2 linked regions of the Callithrix jacchus genome follow. The main gene of each other region encodes a partner of the protein of the gene in region 2 in a complex. Links are inferred from orthologs where the notes say so. Each region holds a gene or a part of one and is shown on either strand. Other genes may lie near its edges.

What was found.
Region 1: the proteins of CRHR2 (region 2) and GNA11 are in contact, whole or in part, in a cryo-EM structure (PDB 7TRY), measured with the Homo sapiens proteins. The link is inferred for Callithrix jacchus from reciprocal best matches to the Homo sapiens genes CRHR2 and GNA11. Residues at the interface, in NP_001874.2 of Homo sapiens: Arg148, Tyr208, Leu209, Ala212, Ile213, Thr216, Glu220, Lys293, Lys307, Ala311, Phe358, Tyr359, Phe362, Asn363; in NP_002058.2 of Homo sapiens: Arg37, Ile348, Leu349, Asn352, Leu353, Glu355, Tyr356, Asn357, Leu358.

The regions. Positions count from the first base shown.
Region 1 is NC_133523.1:2,863,122-2,868,995, reverse strand, and holds the start of GNA11 (guanine nucleotide-binding protein subunit alpha-11), read right to left. Parts: upstream 3,534-5,874; 5' UTR 3,226-3,533; coding exon 3,090-3,225; intron 1,269-3,089; exon of another isoform or gene 1,089-1,268; coding exon of another isoform or gene 1,046-1,088; intron 58-1,045; exon of another isoform or gene 1-57. UniProt on the Homo sapiens protein: Guanine nucleotide-binding proteins (G proteins) function as transducers downstream of G protein-coupled receptors (GPCRs) in numerous signaling cascades.
Region 2 is NC_133512.1:27,552,894-27,558,678, reverse strand, and holds the start of CRHR2 (corticotropin-releasing factor receptor 2), read right to left. Parts: upstream 3,528-5,785; 5' UTR 3,454-3,527; coding exon 3,367-3,453; intron 1-3,366. UniProt on the Homo sapiens protein: G-protein coupled receptor for CRH (corticotropin-releasing factor), UCN (urocortin), UCN2 and UCN3. Has high affinity for UCN.

The sequences.
Region 1 (5,874 bases), on a different chromosome or scaffold from region 2:
CGATCAGCCCCGTCTGGAGACATCATGGTTATCATGACTTCGGGGAGCTCCTGGCACAGAGTGGGTGGTGACCTGGGATGCTGATCAGCGCCCTGCGGTGCCCAGGGCAGCCCCACCCCACTGTGCACAGGGCCGTGGGAGACCTGCTGTGTGTAACGGAGAGGCCGTCGGAGGCGTGGACAGCACATGGGAACCAGTGCGGGAGAGGAGGCACGGCTGCTAGAGCCCCGTCCAGCTCCAGGGCTCCAGACGGTCCCTCCACACCCAGAAATAGGGCATGGAAAGTCCTCACAGGCCGTGTGCAGCCCCGTAAGGCAGCTGACGAGAGCTCGTGGACACCTCGCTCTTGCAGAACACGCTCCTCCTGGTTGCAAACCCAGGCATCAGGCAGGACCCTAGAGCCCTGCGGGCCCGAGCCTGGAAGGAACCAGCACCACCCACACACACGAGACCCTCCCGGGGCCCAGATGCCACAGGGTGGCAGGCCCCTGCCTCCCCAACATCCACTCCACAGCGCAGCACCGGAGCCACCCGGGAGAAGGAGGGCTGGAGCCCCACCACAAAGGGGCAGGGGAGGAAAGAATTCCAGGGAGAAGCAGGCCCGGCTGGGCTTGGCCTCCTGCACAGCGCCAGGACCTCCGCCCAAAGGTCTCAACATTCTGTGGGGCGCGGGCGCCATAACCACCTGCTGCGGCCCAACAGCCCTTCCTCCCGGGGAGCCTCGGCCTCACCCTCCAGCTGCTCCCTAAAAAACGGGGCAATTGCAAGCTCGGGGCTGGCGCACTGCGAAAGTGGAGTGAGTTCCCACAGGCAGGCGGGGAGCCTGGCAGAGATCCTCTCCCCTGTACCCGGACCCCAGCCCCACGACATCTGGTGGTCAAAGCCCTCGAAGCCAGGGACTCTCCGGCTGGGATGCAAGGTGGCTTGGATAGGAGTTTCCTGAGGGTCCTCACAGCAGATTCCCAAAGGGCTTCCTGGCCCCACCACGTCAGGTGTGAAGTCTTCCCAACCCCCGGCAGCCCCCGGCCCTCTGCTTGGCACTGACACCTGTCCTTCCTGGGTTGCATGTGAGCTCCCGTCTTCCTCATTGTCCTATCTGCCCCGCCTGGCCTGAGCCTGACAGCAACCTCCCATCTTACAGGCTGATGGGCTCAACTTCCAGGCTCACACAGAGGGGTGGGACGGCGGACATCCCCTGGGCCACAGGTGGGCACCGGACAGAGGATGCAAGATGGGTCCCATTACTCCCAGACTCGCTCCAGGTAGCCAAGGCTGCAGACGTGGGGGCCCCTGACCTTCGTCCTTGAACCTGGTGTCAATCTCAAGTCCAAAGTGCAGGCACAGAAGCCTGGGTGCAGCGGGAAAGGCAGCGGGGGTTCTGGAGGTCACAGAGCCACAGGGCAAGGCCGTCTGGTAAGATCTTTATGACACCAGCAATTCCTAACTCCCCTCCATCTACACAAAGTCCACGACCCACGGCAAAAGCCAGCCAGTGCCACTCTGTCCAAAGTGCCACCATGCAGGCCCCCTGCACACTTCCTCCAAGCATTAGGGACACGGCTCTGCCTACCTGAATCCCCTGGAAAGATGGCCCATTTTAGAACCCTTAGGTAAATCAAAACACAAGTTTGGGGGGGAAAAAATCAGGAAGGTATTTCATTCAAGGCACCTCTCTAACGGGGGACATCGGAGGGTCACGGCAGGAGAGGCAGTCTGCTCCCCGAGAAACAAGTGACCTGTCTCCTTCCTGGAGGGCCCCCTCCTCCTCCATCACCGCTGCTTCTGCATGCATTTCAGACCTTCCCCACCACCCCTCCCGCTCAGGAGCTAACCTAGGAGCTCAGGAGGGCGAGGGTGGGGCCGGGCAAGGGCTATGTTTTGTAAACGACTGCAAGGGCCCTTATTTTGGGTGACAACACTTTACAGCTGGCCTGATTGGCTTCCTGCAGCAGGTGTGCCTTGGGGAGAAGGAGGCACAAGGCGTAAATCCTATCCGGGAAGGTGGGGAGGAGCCGGGATGTAGGGGGCTGCTCCCCACTAGGGCTGCACGTGGCTCCCACCAAGACTCTAAGGAAGGGGGCGGGGGAGGCTGCCGAGGTGGCTGCTTCTGACAAGTCGCAAAGGCTCCCTCAGGTGTCAACCGCCCCACCCTCGGCTGAGCAGAACCCTGAGGAGAGGAAAGACGGTCTTGTTCCCACAGGGCGGATTCCAGCCTAGAGGAGGATGGGATTTCCCGGAGTAGGAAGGCAGGAGGACAGCCCCTAAGGGAATGGGGGATAGGGGCGCGGAGGAGTCTTCGAGGGGGTGGACGGGACCTGCATGGAGGGATCAGGGCTCTGCCTGGTGGGAAGGGTCAACGCGGGACCCTGGGAGGTGAAGGTGGATGAGACCAGTGGGTGACATCCCAAAGCTCTGGCCCTGAGATGCTGGGGGGGCGGGGGTAGCGAGGGGTGGGTAGTCGGCGAGGTAAGATCAGAGAGCTCCTGTGCAGCAAGGGGACTGGTCTCTTGAAAAGGGGCAGAGGGCAAATCCTGAAGGGTCCTGCCCAACGTGGACGGCAAACTGGGAGCTGACCTGGGAGGGATGGGGACCTGATCCCGACATGACAGACAGGGCAGACCCCCCCCCCAAGGTCCCTGCTGCCAACAGGAACGGTGAAGGCACAAAGGAGCGGACCACAAACAATCTGGGCCCCCGAGGCTGACCCCGGAGGGTCCCAGCTGCCGACCTAGACAGCAAAAGCAGGGCTGACCCCGGGAGGGTCCCGGACGGCACAGGCAGGGCTGACCCCGGAGGGTCCCGGACGGCACAGGCAGGGCTGACCCCGGAGGGTCCCGGACGGCACAGGCAGGGCTGACCCCGGAGGGTCCCGGACGGCACAGGCAGGGCTGACCCCGGAGGGTCCCGGACGGCACAGGCAGGGCTGACCCCGGAGGGTCCCGGACGGCACAGGCAGGGCTGACCCCGGAGGGTCCCGGACGGCACAGGCAGGGCTGACCCCGGAGGGTCCCGGACGGCACAGGCAGGGCTGACCCCGGAGGGTCCCGGACGGCACAGGCAGGGCAGGGCAGGCCCGACGCCCCACTCACCGAGGAGCAGCAGCTTGAGCTCGCGCCGGGCGTCGCGCTTGTCCCGCCGCAGCTGCTTCTCGATCTCCGCGTTGATCCGCTTGGACTCCTTCACCTCGTCGCTCAGACAACACGCCATCATGGACTCCAGAGTCATCGTCCCGGCCCCGGCCGCCGCGGCCGCCTGCCCGCCGCCGCCCCCCGGCCCCCAGGCCCCCGGCCCGGCCCTGGCCGGAGCCGCCTCGGCCGCCGTCCGCCTCGGCCCCGCGGCCTCGGCCTCGGCCCCCGGCCCTCCGCCCCGGGCCGGCCCGCCCCGCCTCGCCTCGGCCGCTGCCTGCGAGCTGCCGGGTCCCCGCTCGGGCCGCGCCAGACGCGGACTCCCGCGCGGCCGCACTTAGCCCGCGCCGCCGCCGCAGCCACCGCCAACCGCAGTCGCCGCAACCGAGCGACAGCGCCGGACAACCTAGCAGGCTGGGAGCGCAGCCCGTGACGGGCAGGCGCTGCGGCCAATGGGAGGGGCCGGCGGCCAAGCGCGCCCACCGCTGGGGCGGGAATAACGGCCTGGGCGGGGCGTCAGCGGGCGCGAAAGGGGCGGGGCGGGGCGAGGGCGGGGGGCCCGCGGGTTTGGTTGCGCCGACGTGGGAAGGGGGGACGCGCAGCCGGGAGCCGGGGCGGGGCCGCCCGGGATTGTGGGAATGTGGCGGACTCAGCCGGCCAGGCTCGGCTCTGTTCGGCTCCGTTCGGTCCCGTTCGGCCCCGCTCGGCTCGGCTCGCTCGGTCCAGGCCGGGAAGGAGAGAGGTGCAAGCGGTTGCCGCGCTCTCTGGGTCTCTAGGTTCCTGGGCAGCCGTCGCTGCCCCCGGGAAGCGCCCTCACATTGCCTAACAGGAACCTTCTCTCATCCGTTAAAAAGCGTCAGTGGGGCCGGGCGCGGTGGCTCACGCCTGTAATCCCAGCACTTTGGGAGGCCGAGGTGGGCAGATCACGAGGTCAAGAGATCGAGACCAGCCTGGCCAACATGGTGAAACCCCGTCTCTACCAAAAAAATACAGAAATTCGCTGGGCGTGGTGGTGCTCACCTGTAGTCCCAGCTACTCGGGAGGCTGAGGCAGGAGAACTGCTTGAGCCCGGGAGGCGGAGGCTGCAGTGAGCCGAGATGGCGCCACAGCACTGCAGCCTGGTGCCTGGAGACAGAGCAAGACTCTGTCTCAAAAAAAAAAAAAAAAATTGTTAGTGGGGCACTACTGTGTATCAGGCATTAATGGGATGCCTTCTATATACCGGGCATGGACTAAAAATTAATGGAGCAACAGACACAACCCAGGCATAAATGCAGCACCTGCTTTTACCGTACAGGGTACCAGCATTCATGGAGTGCCTACTGTATACGATGTATGAGCCAGATATGAATGAGGTGCCTGGCATATAGCACATGACCACCCGGGAGGGTCCCAGGTACCAATGTGAACAGCACAGGCGGGGGGACTGACCCCAGAGGGATCCAGGGCACCAGCATTCATGCAGTGCCTACTGTATGCCAGGTATGAACCCGGCATTAATGCAGTGCCTGCTATGTACTAGACACGGACCAAGTATTAATGCAGCACCTGCTGTAGGTCATCCAGGGCACAAGTAATAGTGGAGTTCCTACTGTATATGAGGTATGAGCCAGGCATCAATGCAGCAACTGCTGTGTACCACACAGGGCACAATCATTAGCAACAGAGTACCTACTGTAAGACAGGTATAAATCGGGCATTCCAGCACAGGCACAAGCATTAATGGAATGCCTACTGTATACACCAGGCACTGTTGTAAGCCCGTTAAACTAACTCTACTCAGGGGATTTTTTTTTTTTTTTTTTTTTTGAGATGGACTCTTGCCCTGTCACCCAAGCTGGAGTGCAGGGGGCATGATCTCGGCTCACTGCATCCTCCACCTCCCAGGTTCAAGTGATTCTCCTGCCTCAGCCTCCTGAGTAGCTGGGATTACAGGCATGTGCCACCATACCCTGCTAATTTGTATATTTTTGCTAGAGATGGGGTTTCGCCATGTTGGCCAGGCTGCTCTCGAGCTCCTGACCTCAGGTGATCCACCGCTTCAGCCTCCCAAAGTGCTGGAATTACAGGTGTGAGTCACTGCACCCAACCTAATTTTTATATATATATATATATAAAGATGGGGTTTCACCATGATGGCCAGGCTGGTCTTGAACTCCTGACCTCAGGTGATCCACCCACCTTGGCCTCCCAAAGTGCTAGGACTGCAGGTGTGAGCCACAGCGCCCAGCCAATTTTTTATATTTATAATGGAGACAGGGTTTCCCCATTTTGGCCAGGCTGATCTCTAACTCCTGGCCTCGAGTGATCCTCCCACCTTGACCTCCCGCAGTGCTGGGATTACAGACATGAGCCACCGCGCCTGGCCACGTCTTCATCCTTATTTTTTGCAGGTGAAATGGAAGTGACCACCGGAATTTGTAAAGACAAGTGTGTTCCGACCACCTTGCTGACTACGGGAAACGCTTTTCTCTCTCTGGCATCCTTGGCAAACCTCTGGGTATCCTCTTCGTTTTGGTTCAAACATCAGCTCCTCAGGGAGACTTCTCCTGACTCCTCAGACCAAGCCAGATACTTCCTCTTGAGCCACAATGTGAAATTGAAATTGTGTATTCAGGCCGGGCGCGGTGGCTCACGCCTATAATCCCAGCACTTTGGGAGGCCGAGGCGGGTGGATCACTAGGTCAAGAGACTGAGACCATCCTGGTCAACATGGTGAAACCCCATCTCTACTAAAAATACAAAACTT
Region 2 (5,785 bases):
TTCTATGTACCCACAAAAATTAAAAATAAAAAGGCTGGGCGCAGTGGCTCATGCTTGTAATCTCAGCACTTTGGGAGACCGAGGCAAGTGGATCACGAGGTCAGGAGAATATCCTGGCCAACATGGTGAAAGCCTGTATCTACTAGAAATACAAAAATATTAGCTGGGTGTGGTGGTGTGTGCCTGTAGTCCCAGCTACTCAGGAGGCTTAGGCAGGAGAATCGCTTGAACCCGGGATGCAGAGGTTGCAGTGAGCTGAGATTGTGCCATTGCACTCCAGCCTGGGGGTGACAGAGTGAGACTCTGTCTCAAAAAAAAAAAAAAAATTAAAATTTAAAAAGTTAGAATTTTGGAAGAAGTGATTGTGACTGGCTAAGGAATCCTTAAAATGGTTTAAATTAAATAAAGTAGAATATGATAGCTAGGAAGCTAAAGAGTAGTCCAATAATTCGTAATACCAAATTAAGTAGCCATTGCCCTCAGACAGATTTTTTTTTTTTTTTTTTTAATACTGAAACACCAACAAAATGGCAAAAACAGAGACTAAATTAGCTGGTAGGGCTAGAAAACACTCAGAAGGGAGTTGAATTTTTGGGAAAAGTCATTCAGTGAATTAGCTGCTGGCAAATGGTCCTGGAGCCCCTGCCCTGCAGACCCTCAGTGTGGGTGTGTTAGGGGGCAGGGTAGCCTTGGTCTTTGGGATGGGCCGGACAGGTCAGGGAGGGTCCAGGGACCGCTAGGGACTTCTCTGTGTTCTATTATCTTTGCTGAGCCTTGTTGGGGCAGATGGCCCTACCAGAAGCCAGGACCTGGGGCAAGAGGTCACAGAGGTACATTCCTGAGACCCTGGGGGATGGTGTCTCCCTGTCCAAAGCTCCAAGGAGCTGGACTCAGCCAGGAGGGGCTGAGAGGCTCCTGGGATCTTCACAGAAGGGGAGGCAAGTGGCATTGCTGAGCCTCTCTAAACTCTGTTTCCAGTCTGTGAATAAGTGACCCCATCTTCCCTGTGTTTGAGTAAGGTGTCTAATACCACTTAACAGCTGCAAGATTACTGCCTGCCTCCAGAGCATCTTCCCGAAGGCCTCCACGGGGAACTGGGAGCACTGGGGTCAAGGCTGGGTGGGCTCCTCCAGCTCTCAGTGTGCCCTGGGCCCCAGCATCCTCCTCACTCAAAAGCACCAGCTGGAACCCTTGCAATTGCAGAAAAGACCAGTCCCCTCCCTTGCACAGAGAGCTCCCCATGAACTCAGATCCCGGTACAGCTCTGCAGTCTCCCACAGATGTCTTCTCAGAGTTGGGGCCCTGGGGCCTTCCCCCTTCTCTGCACCTGCTCTCCCCCATTCCTTCCCTTGAATTACTGATCCCCATCCCCGCAATGCTGCCCACCTCCCACCAGACTCCCCCCATCCTGTCAAGGGCTCTCACACCTACACATACTTCTTCTGGGCCCATTTACTGAAACTTGTGAACATAGACTCCTTCCTTTCCTACCAGGCCCCCTTCTGGGCTATAAACTCCACAAGAGCAGGAGCTAGATTGGCGTTCAGACTCTGGGTCCTCCCCGTGGTCAATCTTCCTTAAACACTGGATGAATAACTGAGAAGCTGGGCCCTCCTGGGCTGCCTTCCCTCCCTACTGCCTGCTTTGGGTCCCAGAGTCTCAGGACCCAGGAAAAAGTCCCATTGCCATGAAGGCTCAGCGAGAGGAAGGCTGGGCTTTGGCATCAGAAAGACCGAGGTTTAGTGCTTTCCAGCTGGGTACATGCTGAGGGGCTGTGGGCAAGTAACTGGTCTCTATCGAATCCGGGATCCTTGGGAGAGCTAGGGGTAGGGCCAGGGATGACCCTGAGGGAAGCTGAGCCCATGGTGTTGCCGTGAGGATCCCAGGGCACCTCTGGAGCAGCCAGCAGAAGCTTCCTGCATCCAACCACCTTGGGTGGCTGGGCAGCGTGGCTCCCAGAGGGATGGCTTGAGGGACAACCCTTGCCCCAACACTCGGATCTCCTGGAAGGCACCTATCTAGAGAACAAGTGGGAGAGGGCAAGAGAGCTCAAAGCCCAGGACATCTTGCGGAGTGGATGGTAAACCCCCGTGCAACCTTCACCCATCCCAATTGCAGTCTGCAACATGAAAAGGCTCAGCAGGTCTAGGGGCCATGTTCCTATCAGACACTGACCGCAGCTCAGCATGGGACCTGCCTCCCACCTCTCTCCTCCACCTGGCCTGGCCCCCAGGAGGGTGGGGACCCTTGTGTCATCATGCTCTATCTGTGGTGCCTGGCACGAAAGCATAGCTGGCATTCACTGTGTGCTCGCACCACATCAAGCGCATGATGCTGAGTGCTTGTATTACCTCAGCGCTCCTCACAGCAACCTGTTCAGTAAGCACCGATGTCATCCTCATTTTACTGATGAGGAAACTGAGGATTCGAGTAACCTGTCCAAGGTCACACATTAAGCAGCAAAGCAGGGATTTGGATCAGTTTTCTTGGCAAATATCTGTCAAAAGACTGTTGAATGAAGTATTCTCTTTATGCATATAGGGACACTAAGCTCCAGAAAATGGTCCCCAAGGCTGCTCTGTAGTGGAGTCAGAACAGGGACAGGCCTCTTAGCTTCCACTCTGGCTCCCTTCCTCAAATTGTGAGGCCTAAGACAGGTCACCCTCCCACTCTGAGCCTCTGTTTCCCCATCTGTAAAATGGGCAGAGGGCTGAAGGTGGACCATTCCCACCAACCTCTCCCCTACTTCTTCAGCTCTCTCTTGGTAGCCACTCTGCATCCCTTCACCCCACCTCCCATTGGTGGACCCTGACTCTGGGCAAAGGCCCATGGTGTGGCTGGCTGAAGCTCAGTCTTGAGAAACCCTTGGAGAGGCTGGTTCTCCCAGAAACCGCTTGGCCCTCATGGCTCGTCTGGTACTGGGGGCTGCCTGATTTCAGGCACTGAGAGGAGGGGTGGAGACAGGGCAGCAGGCGCAGAAGGCAGCTCTCTGTGGGTCCCTCGGGGGAAGGGTCAGAACTAAGGGTGGGCTGGGGAAAGAAGTCAAGGAACCTGCAGGAGAGATGGAGGGGGGATCGTGGGGGAGGGGAGAGAAAGGACAGGAGACAGGGAGCTTCTGGCCCTGAGGTAGCCAAGTTCTGGACGCTAGGGTGTCACCCCAGAACCCTCCGCTTACCCACAGCGGTCTCCTGGTCTCATCCTGGCTGGCCTCACAGTTTCATCTTCCCTTCCCCTGCCCCCTCACCCAGGCATGGGATCCCCAATCCAGTCCAGCCACCAGGCCCTGAGACCCCTGCCCCCAGTCCTGAGTGCTGGGGGCTCGTGCTCCTGGCACCCACCTTGTGGACTCCCACTCCCTGCACTTACTTGGAGCAGCGGTGGGAGGAGGCAGAGCAGGCAGAGGAGGAGGTGTGGGACATGGAGGAGGCCTGGAGGCTCTGAGGGACCCCTCATGCCAGTAGCGGCTGGGGGTTAGGGATGGAGCCCGCTACCCGCAGCAGTGGCCACACCCCGGCCAGCCCCGCCCCACCCAGCCCTGAGGGGAGGCCAAGGTAAGGCCCTGGACACGAGGGGGTATTCTCCACCCACCTCTCCCACAGGGCCGCGATGACCCCGCCCCACAACCCATAGCCTCCAGGTTATTTATAGCCAGTGCCCGACAGCAGCTGCTACCCTGCCAGCCAAGGGGCAGTGCGCTTCCTCCAGCCTGCAGAGAAGGGGTTAATCCCTTCCACCTGCCACCAGCAGTGCTCGGGGCTGTAGCTCCCCAGGTGGGAGACAGCAATTGAGAAAGGGAAGAGTGGGTCCCAGGCGGTGGTCCCTGCTTGAGCACGGCGCTGAGCCCGCACTGCCTAGCCCTTACCTGGGGAGCTTTTATCAGGGGTTAATGTCCACTGGGAGGACTCAGCCAGGAATGTGGATGCTGGGGTATATAGTAGCACTGTGTCAATGCTACAGCTGCCCATTCTGTTGTGGGTGGGCGAGACAATGCTCTTGTTTTTGGAAAATATGCATTTAGGATTAAAGGGGCACCATGTTTCTAACGTATTTTCAAATGGTTCAGAAACACACTCACATAGATAGATATATGGATAGAACAAGAGAGCAGATGGGGCAATATGTAAGTTGTTGGTAAATCTGGAAAAGGGGTATATGGATATGTTTTGGATCCTTCTAACTTTTCTATATGTTTGAAATTATATCAAAATAAAATTCTTAAAACAACAACAAAAAAACCCCCAAACCAACAGCAAATACAGCTGTGGCAGGGATCACCCAGAGATTCAGATGATGTAGCTTGGGATGGGGCCTGGGTGTCTGGGTGTTTCAGGAAATGGCTAGGGATCCTGATGTCAGGTGAGTGAGCAGTGCTGTTCTCAGGGGGACAGGTCCAGCCTGGGGCTGGGTAGGGCTCACGAGCTGTTCCTGTCAGGTGGGTCTGGTGCAGGGGGTTTAAAAGCTTAAGCTGCGGTTGCACCTCCCTTGTTGTTAGGATCTGAGGGGAAAGCATGTGAGGAATGTGATTAGGGGGGCACCAAGCTTTCTCTCGGAGGTGCAGGCAGTGTGAGGAGAGACCTTGGCAAACTCAGTCCCAATTTAAGTAATTCAGACGCTCTGTGCTCCTGGTCTCCCTGTCTGAGACACTGGACACTTTTCTCTCCTTCAGTGCCCCCTCCCTATCCCCAATGCCTTCCTCCAGGCAGCCTTCCTGGCTGTTCCAGCTCCTGCCTCCCTCTCCTGTGAAATCTCGCAGGTCTGAGTCTGAAGTCCTGCCTCTCACTGGTGTGGACTGTTCTCTAAGCTCGGCGAGGATGAGGTTGAGTGTGGATTTGCCCCAACCTTCCCCTCCTCATTTTCTCTTCCCCCTTCCCTCCTCTTTTGTACAGAGCTTAGTCTCAATGGTACAGAAAAATCTTTATGGGAAAAGTGGAGGAAGAATTGACCATATTTCCCAATTATTTGAAGGTGGCAGGATGAAAGTGCCATCCCAAGTTCTAGAGCAGGATTTGGCTTTCCTGGACCCAGCCAGATGGGCTTGGTCAGAGATTGCTCCTTATAGAAAGTGGATATTTCCTATAAAACACCATAAGGTCAGCAGGACTCTGAGGGCTAGGCAGACTCTGAGGGCTAGGAGGACTCTGAGGGCTAGGCAGACTCTGAAAGACGGCTGGGACAGTTCCACTCAGCAGCCTTCAGCTGGAGGTCTCCAGGGACCAGCCTTACAGCAGGCACTGAGAGCAGAGGCCAGCCTTAGAGTGTGCAGGCGGGCATGGGAAGAAGTGTGGGGAACCCATGAGACCTGGGCATCCATAACTGAAGGGAGGTGGGACATGGCACAGGCACTGGGCCAGCTCAGGGGAGTGAGAGGGCACTTCCTGGGAAGGTGCTGCCGGTGCATCTTGAAGGGTTTAAACAGACTGAGGAAGGGAAGACCCTTACTGCCAATGGGAAGTCTCCTGAGCAGAAGCAGGGAGCAGGGTAAGTGCTGGGGTCCTGGCCAGGTGAGGCAGGCTGGAGGGAAGCCAGATTCTCTGCAGCTTTAGGAGGTTCTGGGTAGCAGTAGGGGCTCAGCCCAGGTTCCTCTCTGGGTGGGGTGTTCTGGGTGCCTGTCTTAGCTTGGGTGTCTGTAGCAGAATACCTTTCCCTGGGTGGCCTTAACAACAGACATTGATTCCTCTGTGTTCTGGAGGCAGGACATCCAAGATCAGGATGCTCACATGGTCAGGTTCTGAGGAAGGCCCTCTCCTGGGTTTCTCGGTGTCTGCCTTCTTGCTGTTTCCTCATG